2 linked regions of the Oreochromis niloticus genome follow. Each later gene encodes a partner of the first gene's protein in a complex. Links are inferred from orthologs where the notes say so. Each region holds a gene or a part of one and is shown in the gene's direction. Other genes may lie near its edges.

Evidence for each region. The genes of interacting proteins can lie anywhere in the genome.
Region 2: zbtb8os (region 1) and fam98b share a complex: the UniProt entries of both Homo sapiens proteins name them as parts of the tRNA-splicing ligase complex. The link is inferred for Oreochromis niloticus from reciprocal best matches to the Homo sapiens genes ZBTB8OS and FAM98B.

The regions. Positions count from the first base shown.
Region 1 is NC_031983.2:8,554,747-8,562,589, forward strand, and holds the start of zbtb8os (protein archease), read left to right. Parts: upstream 1-4,838; 5' UTR 4,839-4,988; intron 4,989-5,143; 5' UTR 5,144-5,243; coding exon 5,244-5,325; intron 5,326-6,822; coding exon 6,823-6,847; intron 6,848-6,918; coding exon 6,919-7,061; intron 7,062-7,181; coding exon 7,182-7,264; intron 7,265-7,843. Other genes in the region: histone-binding protein RBBP4, read right to left, coding at 580-642, 775-885, 1,424-1,558, 2,105-2,182, 2,261-2,387, 2,481-2,641, 2,773-2,888, 2,993-3,166 and 3 more. UniProt on the Homo sapiens protein: Component of the tRNA-splicing ligase complex required to facilitate the enzymatic turnover of catalytic subunit RTCB. Together with DDX1, acts by facilitating the guanylylation of RTCB, a key intermediate step in tRNA ligation.
Region 2 is NC_031983.2:15,982,707-15,990,561, reverse strand, and holds the start of fam98b (protein FAM98B), read left to right. Parts: upstream 1-4,837; 5' UTR 4,838-4,976; coding exon 4,977-5,014; intron 5,015-5,158; coding exon 5,159-5,307; intron 5,308-5,399; coding exon 5,400-5,522; intron 5,523-5,606; coding exon 5,607-5,779; intron 5,780-6,366; coding exon 6,367-6,447; intron 6,448-6,544; coding exon 6,545-6,661; intron 6,662-6,767; coding exon 6,768-6,935; intron 6,936-7,021; coding exon 7,022-7,345; 3' UTR 7,346-7,855. UniProt on the Homo sapiens protein: Positively stimulates PRMT1-induced protein arginine dimethylated arginine methylation.

The DNA.
Region 1 (7,843 bases):
ATCTACGTCTTGTTACTCGCTCACATCCGACTTAACATCTAAGAGGTTGTGCCAAGAAAACAAAGCAAACAGCTGTACTGTAAATATTTTTTATATGAATATACTTAAGTACACAAAAGATCAGATGCAGAGAAAATGCAGAGAGAAAAAAAAACACATACAAGTGACAACACAATTTGGGGGAATTTCATACTACAAATACCAGGCAAATTAAAAGGATCAACCTACAGTATGTACAATAACATTTAAAAATGGATCTTCCACAGAAATGTTTCTGCTCAACTAACCAAGATGAAAGAAATAAAACAAAATGCACACTTAGGTGATCATAAACATGTCTGTGGTTTCATCACGAGTCAGATTTCAGTTCGAAAAACTAAAAAGATCTAAAAACCTGATCATTAGAGACCTTGTCTTAAATATGTCACGTGATGACATGGCAGCATTTTATTCTTTTATTTTCTACAAAACACTGCTGCTCAAAATGTATTTTAAAAAGACTGTTTTTTCACCCAGCGCTGGTAAACGGATCCATTTTTAATGAGCAGGTCAAAAGAAGAAGAGACGTGGAGACCGGACTCATGCCTGGACTTCTGAATCTGCAGCACCTTCTGGGTCCTCGTCATTGTAGATATTTTCAGCCTGCAGACAATTGCCAAAAAAATAAAAGATTTTTAATGTAACTGCTCTTCTATGTTATAATAATAAATGCACTTTACTATTCAAATCCTCGCTGTGTTGTAACTGATCGAGTTTTCTTTACAAAGCCTTTACCATCTGCCACACTTGCATGATGTTGTCCTCTGATACTGAACAGATGACCCACGGCTCGTTGGGGTTCCAAGAGAAGTCTGAGATCTTAGCTGTGTGTCCTCCGTGGATGAACTGAAATGAAATGAAGCAGAAAGATTTAGCACAATGATCAAGATTTAGCTTAAAAAATAAAACAAAGCCAATATTTGAAAGCAACATTACAGTATTTCCCACACAAAGACTTTGGCATGCTCTTCCAGTGTGGCGGCATCTTACTGACAGACCGACTAAGCCACTGTTAAGGCATTGACCACTGCTTCTCCAGAAAAATCATGTAGCTTCCTGGACTCCAACTCTATTGTCATGGATTGCATATGGTGACAGTAGTCCTTGTACTGCTCTACAGAGCCGCTGCAAGCTACAGGGTCACTAACTACAAACTGCAGCAGGTGGAGAAGTTAGTGTGCCACAAGACATTTCTCAGGCTGCTGAGCAGAACAATGACTATCATCACCAGCTGCAGTCCATGCATTGGTGGAGCTGTAGTCCATCTGCTGGACAAGACTGTTACTGGAGAGTGTGGGTGCACAGAGCCTCTGACATCACCACAAATATGCTAATTTTGTTGAGAAAAACGGCATCATCACCACCGCTCATTGTCACAACTCACCAGCAGCTCAGGAGGGCCATCCTCAGCATCCTCTGGTGACTGCTCCTCTCCAATCTTACTAAGGTCCCAGACGTTGAGCCGCCTGTCGGTGCCGCTGGAGGCCAGGATGGTTTCGTTATGAGGAGACCACTGAACCTGTTGGGGAAAGATGTGGACATGAAACCTCTCTAATTAAGTCCCACCCTTGCAGTACTTTGGTGAAATTAGGTGAATATAATTGTAAGTATTATATCTATTGTTTAACACTTTTGGTTGTACACTTGGTACAAGCAAGTGGACAACCAAAAGTGTTAAACAATTTTCCATCACATATTTTCACAAGTTACAACGAAGTCCTACAATCCTTTTTCTCTAAAATGTTCTTCCCAAAGTTGAACACCCCCCCCCCCCACACACACACACACACACACTGTTTTCCACCAGTTTACCTCATTGTATTGACTTTGTATGCAACTGTAACTGTAAAAGCAAACAGCTTCCTGACAGTTTGTCTTTTTGTTAACTTAGTTATACCATAAATAACAATTGCATTTCATCTTTTGTAGCCACAAGCTAGTTAATCACCAGACACATATCTCAGCCTAAATAGCCTCACTACACAATGCAGTTACTGAGCTGAAACATTCAAGCTGAAGTTTACACAACAACTACAGATTTATTGCGAGGAAGTTCACTTCTTACCTGGAAGATCTCGTCCTTGTGGGATTCAAATGAGTGAAGCTTCAGCTTCAGGTTTCTCAAGTCCCAAAGAGCCACAGTCTGCAAGTAAAAGGAGGCTGATTCAGTACAGTATCAACATGCTATTCACTGTAACTGTCTGAAAGAAAGATGCCTCACCTTATCTGCAGAGCCAGTGGCAAGAATGAACTCGCTGTAAGGATTGAAAGACAGGCAGTTGACCTCAGCAGTGTGGGCATCCACTGCATGGCTAGGCTTGGAGGTGTTGTTGGACCGCGTGTCCCAACTGTTCCAAAAACAGACAAAAGCACCAGTGTCAGGAAGAAATGTGAAACTGAACAACAACTTTGTTTTAATGACATTGGCTGAGGCTGCTTACATCATCAGTTTCTGGTCATCTGCCACAGATCCAAAGAGCGATTCGTGAAGAAGGTGCCAGGAGACGTCCTCCACCACAGCAGTGTGGCCTGTGAAGATAGTCTTGGCATCCACAATCTTCCCCTCTTTGGGAACTGTGCTGATATCCCACAGGCATATAGTCTGCAAAGAGCACAGAGGAATGTTAAAAAAAAAGAAAAGAACAAATAAGTAACAAATGATTATCAAAGTGATAGAAGACAAAGAAGCATTTTTACAAGAATAAGGTAGGCATGTCAAGACAGGTTTCTTACATGGTCATCAGAAGCACTGAGGAGACAGCCACTAAGGTTTGGGTTCCATGAGAGGCCATAGCCCTCCTTCTGGTGGCCCCTCAGACGGAGATCTGGGGTGCATTCTCCAGAAGGGTCTTTAACAGAAATAATGTCACTGTTAAAAAGCCCGTAGAGCTTCAAATGTAGTAACGCATGATATGCAGTTATGCAAGAAAAAGTGTTCTTTCTGCAAACCTACCAGGCTTGGAGGGGTGCTTTGTGTAATCAAAGACTAGGACATCACTGGTGGGGGTCTTGGTGGCAATGATGCAAGGATTCTGAGGCATGTATCGGGCTCTGTTCACTTCTCCTTCATGGTTGATCTTGATCTCAATCTCTATTTTCCCACTAACAGATCCAAAGCCTCCAAACTCTGAAATAAAAAGACAACAGATACATGAAGCTCTTCCATTCCACGAAGCAGGTTTTAGGGTGACCTACGCACCAGGGATTTTTATGTATTTTTTAGACAAAAAATGCAACCCTTAAGTTACGTAGCGTCTTATATGCCCAATGTTCCTGTTAACCAGTTTTGCTCTTAATAAATATTTGATAAACATATTACAGAACTTTAAAAAAGCAATTAAAAAAGTACGTAAGCTACTATTCTACTTGTTCAGCTGACATTCACTATTGCCCTTGCTTCGCTGAATGAGGTTAAATTTGATTCATGCTGTTATAAATACGTTACTTCCTTTTCCTTCCCCTTGTGAGCAGAGTTGCCCATAGCCAACAATGGTGTTCTTTCTGCACCATCACACAATTATCAATAAGCTATATAGGAGCTGGATAGCGCTACATTAACAATGTGCAAAATTAAAACACTACTGAAATGTCCTCCAAACTCTCTGCATTCACCAGGTCTAACAACTTTTCTGGTGGAAGTGTACCAGTATTACTGTGCTAAAGTTGGATTAGATCAATTAAATTAATATCATCCAGATCCAGCTTAGGCATGTGAACTAGTCTTGTAACATAGGTTCTCAATGGACTTTTTATGCTCTCACCTCCTTTCTCGCTGTCATAGTGTGAAGCATCAAACTGGGCATCATCATTCGGCAGTTGAACGCTGGCAATTACGAGGTGATTCTGCTCATCAGAAGTATGGGTCCCCAGAACCAGCCTGTGCACACTGTAGTCCTTTCCCTCTGGTCTGTAGACATATGGCATGACATTTACGTATCTGCTACAATCTCTTGTTGTGACTTGAAGCCTGAAAAGGTGTTGCAGATCTCCCATTTACCTGGTGACATCTGGGAGCCACTGAGCAGTGAGGCTTGGCCACTCCAGAGCATGGGTCATGACCAGATCATAGAGGAAAGGGGTGTTCTTCTTCCAAATTTTATACTCCTCATTGATCACCCTTTCCTCCACAGCGTCATCAAAAGCCGCTGCAACAGTAACATTCAACACAAAGCTACGTTATAGTCAAATTTACAAACATATGCAGCAGCTACTTGAGGAAGTCTTTTCCTTGTTTTAATATCAGGACTAGCATTTTAGTTGATTTTATCAATAAAGTAACAGTAGCACACAATGCTAGAGCAGCTGTCGCCCTATAAATAAATAATACAGTCTTTCTGAAGATTATTATATTGGTGCAGTATATCAGACTGCACTGGTGAATTAAAAACCCTTTTCACCGGCGCGTTAGCAGCTAACGCTAACATCAGCTAACAGCTAGCTGAATGCTTTCTAACAATGAAAGGTGATGCTGGCTGGCGCGGCAACCACCGCCGCTACATCCTGATTCGCATTTTCTGTCACTCTTGACAGCACACACACATAAATAACGTTCTTATTAAAAAACGTAGACGTCCTTACCGTCTTTATCAGCCATTGTGTGGTTATAATACCGCTACTAATGACAAAAAGAAGTATTTTTTAGGGAGAGCGCTCAGAAGACAGCACGACGGCTCGCAATGGCGCCAACTCCATAGAACGCGCCTAGCCAATCAGAGTCGACGACAAAACCGACAGGAAGTCATTACGCGACACATTACTACATCCGGTGCTGTGCCAAAAAAAAGTAACTTCCGGTATTTGCAAACTGTAATGATAATAACAATGATAGGTAGTATTTAAGCCGTTGTGAATAAGTTGGCCATTTTTTAATGACAGCTGAAAGCCCTGTTTTGCAAGGAGGAGCTCTATAACATATACATACGCGTCTATGCTCTATAAACTCTCTAGAGGTTCCTATTGCTAGTAATTTTTACAATTTATCATTTGTTTAATTATTTCTGTTAATATATCCATTGTGTAACAATGTAAAAGCTGACGGACAAGAAGAAATGAGAAAAAAGAGCGAAGAAAAAAAATAAGTGTTCTTCTTCTTTCACGGAAGCAGTACGGCGAGTCAAGCCTGCCCGGAAATTCAAGAAGGAGAACACACGGACATGGTCTAGATAAACGTCTAGATAAACCTTTTCAACGAGCTTCTGTCTACAATGGACGATCGTGTGTTAGACTTGACAGAGGCACAGAAAGCTGTCAAATCAAAATACCCGCCGATCAACAAGAAATATGAATGTAAGTGCGACGTTATGATACTTAAAGTCGGAGCAACCGCACCAACCACGATGCTGGTGCGTTTCAGTGGAAGTCGAAATTTCCGAGTTGTCAATATTTTAAGCTGGACCGCCCCCTCATGTCACCACCAACAATCACCCCGACTATAACTGGGCTCTGTCTATAAACGTGTGGGAGCGGTGCTTTTGAACGAACGAACGAACAAACAAACAAACTGTGACATATTGTTCGCAAGGCGAAAAACAAATCCTGATTTTTCTTCCCGTTCCTACTTTGAGTTGCAGTTGAAAATTCCACGTGGGAAATGAAAACTCTGACTTCAAATGCTAATAGTTCCTTTACCATGATAAGCTATTTTTTTCCCCCTAAAGTCTAGTTTTATTTTGATTTCAGTGAGCTAAAAGGATTGCTCGTGTTAAATTTTCTCAAAATTCAAATTCAAAAAAGATCTTTAATATGTGCAGTTTTTTTTACATTTGTGTGAAAGAGATTCTATTTTTCACGAGACTATATAGTCCTGTGAAAAATTTAGTGCAACCTTACTCTTTCAGGTAAGCAGGAGGTAGGCGCTGTTAATCAAATGTACCTGATTAACTGATCACCAACAAGTGTGACCACCTATAAACAAAAACAGCAGATTTGCCAATTTCCTACTGATGTCTCCTGTACTGTGTGACAGGTTTCTAATTTTTTTGTTGTTATTAAAGTCTCACATCTGAGAACTAATGTGCACAATAGTGAGCCATCCAGTTCTTCTTTGTCAATGTTGTATGGATGTTGCCAGTCTACTTTAAATGTGTAATTATGCGTCCTTCATGTCAAGAAAACTAATCTTGAGGCTACAAACCCATCAGGTTTTACACCGATCTCTACCGTCTCTTCCCTTTATTCCTGAAGTATGACATAAAGTGGTTTTCCACCACATGCAGTCCATTTTATATATCAAAAATATCGGTCAGCTTCTTCAGTCTTTGTTTACATTTATTTATAGAAATTATATTTGTAAGGTATCTGATACATTAAAATTAGTATTATTTGCAGACCACACAAATATTTTTGTTCTGGAGGGAATCTAAAGCTTGCTGGATACAATCCAAACTGTAAGGAAGAATTTATTAGTTACCAAATAGTGGAAAGGGGGGTGGAATTAAATAAGCTTATGCTTCTTCCTACTCCTTTTTGAACATGTAAGTTATTTATAATTATTATTTTGTTTTCCTTTTGTTGTCTCTTTTTCCCCTGTTGTTGTTATACTATTTTAACATGTTCAAAATAAAGGTATATACAAATACAAACCTGCGGTGTACCTCAAGGCTCCATTATGGGTCTAATCCTGAGTTTTAAAGAGCTACCTTAAAAAAGTTAATTAAGTAGTTCTTCAAAATAAATGCTCACATAAGTACCTGGAGACATTTCAGGATTGCTGCCAGTGGCAAGGCGTTAGGACTTTAATTCAGTCAACTCATGATATTACCTCTTTTTTTTTTTTTTTTTCAGACCTGGATCACACAGCAGATGTACAGTGAGTACCTTTTTGGTATAGTAAAACCATGTTCCTCTGTTTTTTCTTACGCTTAAAAAAACCCCAAAAAACTTCTTTTTTTCTTTTCCAAGAATTCACTCTTGGGGAGGCTCTTTGGAGGAAGCCTTTGAGCAGTGTGCCATGGGCATGTTCGGCTACATGACGGACACAGAGACGGTGGAACCGACAGATACAGTTGAAGTGGAATCGGAGGGTGAGAGTCTCTCACCAAGATTTCAACAGACTTCAGTTGTACCTACTTTCTACCTGTGTCAGTCTGGCTGTTTGCAGAGCAGACCAGCTAAAATCTGTGTTTATTTTTTGTTCCTAAAAGGTGAAGACATGGAGTCGCTTCTCTTCCACTTCCTAGATGACTGGTTATACAAGTTTAGTGCAGATCTTTTCTTTATTCCTAGGGTGAGTGTCTTGGTCACTTGTGTATTACTTAACACGTACTTTAAACTTCTTTACATTGATTGATTGCATACCTGTTTTTGTTTGCAATAGCATTTGAGGCCTGAGCCTTTATAAAATAGATCAGTTTTGATATACAGTATTACTTAAATGGGTAAGTATAAAATCTTTCTATGACACAGAAATATAACATAGACTTCATAGATTTCTATGAAAGCAGGACAGAAAGCAACATGTATTGCTATCTTAACCACCTCCAAATTCAAATCAAATCAAATCAAATCAAATCAAATCACCTTTATTGTCACATCACATGTGCAGGTACACTGGTACAGTACATGCGAGTGAAATTCTTGTGTGCAAGCTTCACAAGCAACAGAGTTGTGCAAAATACAATAACGTGCAACAAGCAAAATATAAAAATGGTTAATCTAAAAGTAATAAATATATGTACCATATATAAAGGTATATACATTACTGAATGTGTGTACTAAATATGTTTTTCTACGTGTGTGTGTGTGTGTGTGTGTGTGTGAGTGTGTATATACATGTTTTACAAATGAAATAGAGTAAACAATAAAA
Region 2 (7,855 bases), about 7.4 Mb from region 1:
TTGGTACAACATCCAAATGCTGTTACTATCAGATATGCATGTTTTCCCACCTCCTGTCACTCTGAGTTTAAAAAAGGAAAAAAAAAAGAGAGAGAGAAACCACACCTCACTTTGGAGTACAAGAGAACAATTTATCTTCCAGATTCCTCCCTAACCAATGCTCCCTTTACTTTCTATGCAAACCTTCGAATGTGGGGAAACGCATTGACCTCTTGGCGGACTGAGTCAGTGACTAGACGGGACATTTTAAACGCTATATATAGGTAGACGACAAACCCCTGGTACCAAACTCCAAACACCTGTAAATATGTAACACTATATTTAAGTACTGATAATAATCCCAGTTTTTTTTTCGTTTCTTCTTTTTTTTTGTCTTTAAAATTTTAAAGATAGAGTTGTATTTATCGTTGCTGTCAGCATATACCGTAGCTTGAAATGACAGCATTTGTACATAGGTCACCTTTTAGTATTATTTCACATTGAAAAGTAGAGGGCGTTTGTGATGGAAATGACTATTGAGCTTCTAATAGAGTTTCTCTCTAGTTTTGTACGGTAGAAGGAAGGATAGTGCTAACACGGTACAGTAGTGGCAGTCCACTTATTTTTAAAGTTTGATATATAAAAATATATATATATATAAATATACATACATACATACGTATAAAGCTGCTAGATACAATCACTAATTTTATTGTGTTGACAGAGAAAATCAGCTATGAACGACTGTTAAACCCTAATTCTCCAACAGCATATAACGACAACGGTCAGTTTTGAAATGTTTGATTGCTCTGTGTGATGAAGTGGACACTTGTGCGTGTGTGGGTGCGAGAGTGTTACTATATGTGCCCACGGATGTGTGTTTGTATGTGTGTGCGTGCTAGATTCCAGGTAGGTTGGCGGTGTGCGTGTGCCTCGCGTGTGCGTTGGTGTGTGTGTGTAACCAAATGTTTGGTTGGTTGTCTTTTTCTCCCATTGTAATCTGATTACCCTGCATTATTGCAAGCTGAACCAAGGTTTGATGAACCTGATTAAAACTTGCTGGCTGAGAAGCAAAATGTAGGACGTGCATTTATACAAAGTGTAGAGAATGCTGAAATAACACTTCTCATTCTGCATTAACCAGCACAGTGCAACTTCCTGTCATGTACTGTATTATATATGCAACATGTGTCTGTCCGCTTTAATATATATATATTTTTTTGACCTGCATTATATAAAGACTTCAGTTTTAACCACTTTGCTGCTAGTCTTTTATCCTCTTTCAATCTTGGAAACTGTGCATATCTTTGGGAATGCATACAAGTGTACATTCTTGACATTGTGTAGATTAAGAAAGATGAAAAAAAAGCTATATAAACCTGTTTCTCTTCAGTGTATTGTTTTAAAAACGGTTACTTTTTACAGCAGTTGAGTGGTTATGTTTCAATTCTCCGATGCTTTGATGCACTGATGATACTATATGTAAGCTTTTTTTCATCTTACAGCGCTCGATGTAACATTTACGTGATTAGTTCTAAATAGTGGAAGACATTTGTGTTTTGAAACTTGCAGTATAAATGGTACTATTCTTAACTATTCTGTAAAACACTGCCTGTTTTCTTACTTTTCGTTCTTTCACTTTCTCTATTTGTGCACATTTCTTTTTCCTGTGCATCTTTTTTTTTTTTTTTGGGTTTCCTTTTAGTGCCATCTGCTTTCACATCCTGACAACCTCAAAAAAGTGCCTCACGTCCATCCTAGTTTCCATCTTAACATCTCTTGTTCTGGTTTTATTGGTTTCTACACGTCTAGGTATTATCATGGTTCGAGAATACCAAGTATCTGTTGTAAAATTTATAGTACCAATAACTCATGTCATAGTTGTATTTTCTTTATACAGATGTAGCTTGTTACTTTTCATAAATATAATGTAAATATGCATACATATGTTTGTAACTGTTTTTATGTTACATCATACACTTGTAATTTGACATATCAAATAACATTATCATAATAAAATGGTGAGTTTTAATCTTTTGCCTGCGCTTGATTGATTTCTTGATCACAGCCAACGTATACAATGTTGTATAGAGAAGACAAAATTAAAGAAGACATACATTCAGTGAACCGCAACATTAAATGGGTGGAGACCTCTGAAGATTGAGAACCAAGACTTCAGCAACAGATCCTTTAGGTTCTATACGTTGTGAGGTGGGACCACAAAATGTAGAACTAGTTCAAGCCCCAAACCCATCTAGCCATCGATTCATCCATCTTCTGTCACTTATCTGGGGCAGGGTTGATGGGTCAGCAGTCAAAGCAGAAATGTCCAGACCTCACTCTCTGCAGACATCTTCCCCCAGTCTTTCAGGAGGATACTGAGGCGTTCCCAAGCCAGTTGAAAGATGTAATCTCTCAAGCATGTCCTGGATCTCCTCCCAGTGGGACATGCCCAGGAGGCATCCTAATCAGATGTCTGAACCACGTTAACTGGCTCTTGTTGATGTAGAGGAGTAGCTGCTCTACTTTGAGTCGATGTCAGTGGTTGCAAAGGACGCTGCAGAAAAAGCTTTATCAACAACTGAGAGATCCAATGTTCTAAATTCCTACAAAATTCACAGCAATGTTTGCCGGTAATTGTATGCAATAGAAATGTGAGCTGGTTCTCAGAAGCCATGAAGGCAGAATTGTTTCTGTGGAACTTGCTAAGATGTAAAAAGTGTATTCTCACTTAGATGGGCAGTAGTATAATTAACAGTTATAGCGATAGAATTACGGACTCATTATCCTGCAGAATAAGGCTTCCACTATCAGGAAAAGCAGTTGTCATAAGTGGTTGTTAGTGGTCTAGAACATTAGGTAGGGGGTCACACCCACATGGAAGCCAGGACATAAAGTTTCCCAGCAGAACATTCCCTAGAGCATCACACTGCCTCCACCATGTTGGCTGCTTCCTTTGGTGCATCCAGCTGCCATCACTTTCGTCATACTAGTCGGCTGACAGTTCAGTTCTGATACTGATGGCCCCATTGTAGATGCTTTCAGGAGTGGAAGATAGCCAGCCTGAGAAGTCTGATAGGTCTGGAGTCTGGTTTCACTCCAGTCATTACACTTTCCCTAATTCTGTGGTGGTATTCAGTATTGATATTTAGACCTTGGGCAAAACTTGCTATGCCATACAAACAGGATTGTTTCGATATTGTTGGTCACGTGAATTATTTGGTCCACTGTATCCCTGCATGAACCAAATTCACAACACATGTGTACCAATTCTAATTCTGACAAAATGTAAATTTTTACAAAAGTTATATAACAGCTGATGGAGATACAATCAGTTGTCTGCCTCATATTATCATAACCTTAACAGACGCTTTATTAGTTCCACCTTTATACTGCTGGTTAGACCCCTTTTACTTTCAGAACTGCCTCAATTTTGGTCTATATTTACAGGCTAGCACCGGGGTAGGCAACTCCAGGCCTTGAGTGCCAGTGTCCTGCAGGTTTTAGATGTGTCCTTGATCCAACACAGCTAATTTAAATGGCTAAATTACCTCCTCAACATGAAATGCTGAAATTCTCCAGAGGCCTGGTAATGAACTAATCATTTGATTCAGGTGTGTTGACCCAGGGTGAGATCTAAAACCTGCAGGACACCAGTACTCAAGGCCTGGAGTTGCCCACCCCTGCACTGGACTGATCAATACTCAGTCTAAGGCACAGGTGTCGAACTCCAGGCCTCGAGGGCCGGTGTCCTGCAGGTTTTAGATGTGTCCTTGATCCAACACGGCTGATTTAAATGGCTAAATCACCTCCTCAACATGCCTTGAAGTTCTCCAGAGGCCTGGTAATGAACTAATCATTTGATTCAGGTGTGTTGACCCAGGGTGAGATCTAAAACCTGCAGGACACCAGCCCGCGAGGCCTGGAGTTTGACACCCCTGGTCTAAGGTTTCCAGTGGGTCCCACTACTCCTTTGCCAACCTGAAAGCTGGCAAAACTCACCAAAATCCTTCATTAGGTCTTTATGCTTGTCAATCCACACCATTTTATTTTAGGAAGAGGCTGCTCAGCCAGCCTTTGGTTTCAGAAGTAATGATTAAAAAGTGGAAAAATGTTTATCTACACCTTAAAATAGAGGATTTCAGTTTTCCCCTTATATAATTGTTTAAATATCCTCAGCTTTAATAATAAACATCAGTAAAAGTGACGCAGAAATGCACTCACTGTGAGCACAGCGATGAGAGGGCCCTGCAGCAGTCCCACCAGGACGTCGCCCGGGTGGTGTTTGTAGTCAGAGACGCGCGTGTATCCCAAATACAGAGAGAATGACACCAGGAAGAACTGGATGGTGGGGAACCAGTCTCGTCCATTTCCCCTGCATCCTGGTCTGGACATGGAGCTTTACATACAAAAGTACAGATTCGAGCTCAACTTGAAGGTTACATGCACATAAAAGAACCAATTTTTGTGGAAAAAAAGAACAAAAAAACAAACAAGACAACCCCCAGGTTAAGATTGGAGCCATTTATCTATAGCTATAATCTTTTTCGGACCATTCCCTGTAAACCCTAGACATGGGTTCAAAGTCCCTTAAATGACTTTTCTCTTCCATTCTGATGCTAAATTTGGTCATAGGTCTAAATGCCTACATGAGCTGCTGCCATATAATTGGCTGATTAGATATTAGCATTTGTATTTGTCATCTATTTTCCGACATCAATGCACAAAGTTTATTGTTTTAACTTTAAATATATACCTCTAATTTTGGAAACAGACACGGTTTACTTACAGTTTTGCTAAAACTGGACTTTCACTAGGCGGAACCAAATTTGCGGAACATAGTTCCGAAATTCGCCCGTTTCATTCCGGGTCTTTTTCATGGTCGGACCACAGTGGAGGAGGATATCCACGATAAAGAAATGAATGGACGCTAAAGCCCCCTGTGCTGTTATGTTTTAAGTAGATACACGCGCGTGAAACAGCTCGCGGCTTCAGCGATGGAGTGTGACATTTTGGACTCGTTAGAGCAGCTTGGGTAAGCGAAGTCACTGCTAGCATAACTGTTTAGCTTCCACGTCCTGCGGCGTGTTTTCAATCAAAATAAAGCAGCCGGTTGAGCCAAGACCCCCGTCTAACTCCTGGCTGTGTTTGACTTTTGGCGCTGTGTGCTGGTCCGTAGCTATGACGGCCCTCTGCTTGAGGAGAAGGCGCTGCTCAGAGCCGCAGAAGGAGGCCTGCAGTCGCCTGAATATGTGGACCTCTGCAAGTGGTTGTCAGCCAGGTTAAAGCCGCTGTGTGACCTGGAGGAGAGCATCACCTCAGGCCCAGGTGAGCAGCATCCATTCTCACCTTAATCTGATCTAAAAATCAGTGTCTAATCTTTGCGCTCACATCTGTTTTGGTTGCTCTTCTCCTCCAAGATGATATGGACAGCCTCCAGCTGGAGATGAGTGGTCTGCTGAGGGAGCTGCACTGCCCCTGTGAAGTTTCAGGGATTCTCAAGGGCACTGGGCAGAAAACAAAAGACCATCTCAAGTTTGTCTGTATGTATCATTCTGTGTAATCCACTCTGTGGGCTGTAAACTGTAAGTAAGCAGGAAGATTAAATTTTTGTGTCTGTTTTTCAGTGTTTTTAAGCTCAGAGCTTCAGGCAGCCCAGATTGTGAGAAGCAGGCAAGTCTCTGATAAACAAGACCAGAGTCCAGTGAACCAGGAGCTCACAGCAATCTGTGAAACTCTGAAACTACCCGTGCCAAAGGGACAGGAGGCTGCAGGAGTTTTCTCTCAACTTCAAAATAAGGTGAGGCTGTTTGAACTGCACGTGATTTCATTTAGGATGAGCAAGAATAACGCTCGATTTATTGATCAAAATGTATGTGTAGCAGTAGCAGTGTGCGCAATTCTTTTACGGTAATTGCAAAGCAATCAAACAAAAAAGAAAATGAACAAAGATCTGCTCCTCCTACTTTAACACAAGGCATGATGCAATCTTTAAAAAAAAAAGTATTCTTCAGAAAAAGGAGGAAGCCTTAGATAAGAACCCACTCAGACACAGTGAGAACATGCAAAATCCACACAGAAAGGCCTTGGGGAGATGGTGTGGTCGAACCAAGGACCACCTCGCTGTGAGGCAACTACTGTCCCACCCATTCCAAAATAATCAAATTAACACATTAAAAAAACCCTCTGGACCGTGTAATTTAAATGTGTAGCACTCTCTGCTCATTATTATTAGGTGGCACAGACAGACATCAACACATTTCCTTCATTTTCTTCCTGCATTAGCTGTTAATACTTGAGATAGCAAATTAGGAGGAAATTGTGTGATACATTAATCACTGTATTTTTACGTCACTGTCTCTCTTTGATCGTTTTTTTGTTTAACAGGTTGAAAACTTGCTTAAAACCCTTCCTGGTGCCTCTGTTGGAAACCCAGTGCTGAAGAAATCACTCAGTAGTGAACAGTGGGTATGTATATGATCGGCTGAATGTCATAGCTACACTGTACTGTGTATGTATCTGGTCGTATTGTTGTTACAGGCCTTTTTTTTTTTAATGCTTGCAGGAAAAATTACAAAGCATCAACGCAACTCTATCGTCGGAGTACGAATGTCGCCGCAGGATGCTGATCAAACGGCTCGACGTCACGATTCAGTCATTTGGGTGGTCAGACAGAGCCAAGGTATGTTTACAGTCACACTTCAAACTGACATCTGCTTGCTTGAAGAATGTTTTGTGGTTATTTGGTGGATAGCGAAAAGCATTCAGATAGTTGTGTTGTGTTTTAGGTGAAGGTGGACAGCATGGCAGGAGCCTACCAGCCTAGGAGACACTCTCTGAGGCCTCAGTCCTCTGTGGACATAGCGGCGCTGCTGGCTGCCAGAGAAGATCTCTGCAATGTGGTGAAGACCAGCAGTGGCTCGAGCAGGGAGAAGACCGCTTGTGCCGTCAACAAGGTGCAGCAAACGTTTCCCACGGCCGGAATAATCAGGCCGATTTGGACGTTTTCTTCATAGATGTTCTGTTTAACCTGTCTTCGCAGATCTTGATGGGAAGAGTACCTGATCGAGGAGGACGTCCCTCAGAGATCGAAGCCCCGCCTCCTGAGATGCCCCCCTGGCAGAAAAGACAAGATGGCGGAGGTGGTGGCTGGGGAGGACGTGGCGGTGGTGGTGGAGGACGAGGTGGAGGAGCCTGGGGACAAGGAGGAAGAGGTGGTGGAGGTGGATGGGGAGGAGGGGGAGGAAGAGGAGGAGGTGGAGGTGGTTGGAGAGGAGGTGGGTGGAATCAAGGAGGACACAGCAGACACGGAGATTACGGAGGACACAGTGGGCATGGAGGGAAGCGAGGACGGTACCAGTATTAGCTTCCACTCATTGTCTTTTGCTGGGTTTTGTTGTTGTTTTTGTTTTGTTGCGATACTAGACGTAGTTTTTCACATGACCTCAACTGTTTATTTGTTTTTTATGGATGAGAGAACTTTTTAAAAATCTGATGGTTGATTGTCAGTATTGGGTGGAAAAACGTTAAGCTTTAATCTGTGCCATCTATCATCTTTTTTCCCCTTCACTATTCTCATCAGTGTTTTTAAAGTGAAAGTAGCACTCAGTACATGAGTTTTCACTCATACAAAGGTGGCAAACACAAACGCTGTGGCCATAATATTGCAACTACGTTCCAAATGAAGACTACATTCTAATTCCCAGCTGGTGTGTAAACACTGGCAAAGTGACTTTAAATGGTAAATCCAGCTGAGATCCTTTTATATACTACAAAAACACATTCTGCAGCGTTCAGGTGTTAAGTTAGTATTTAGTGTTGCAGTAGTTGGACACAGCCTGTATCTTTAACATTGGTCAGCACATAGACCATTTCC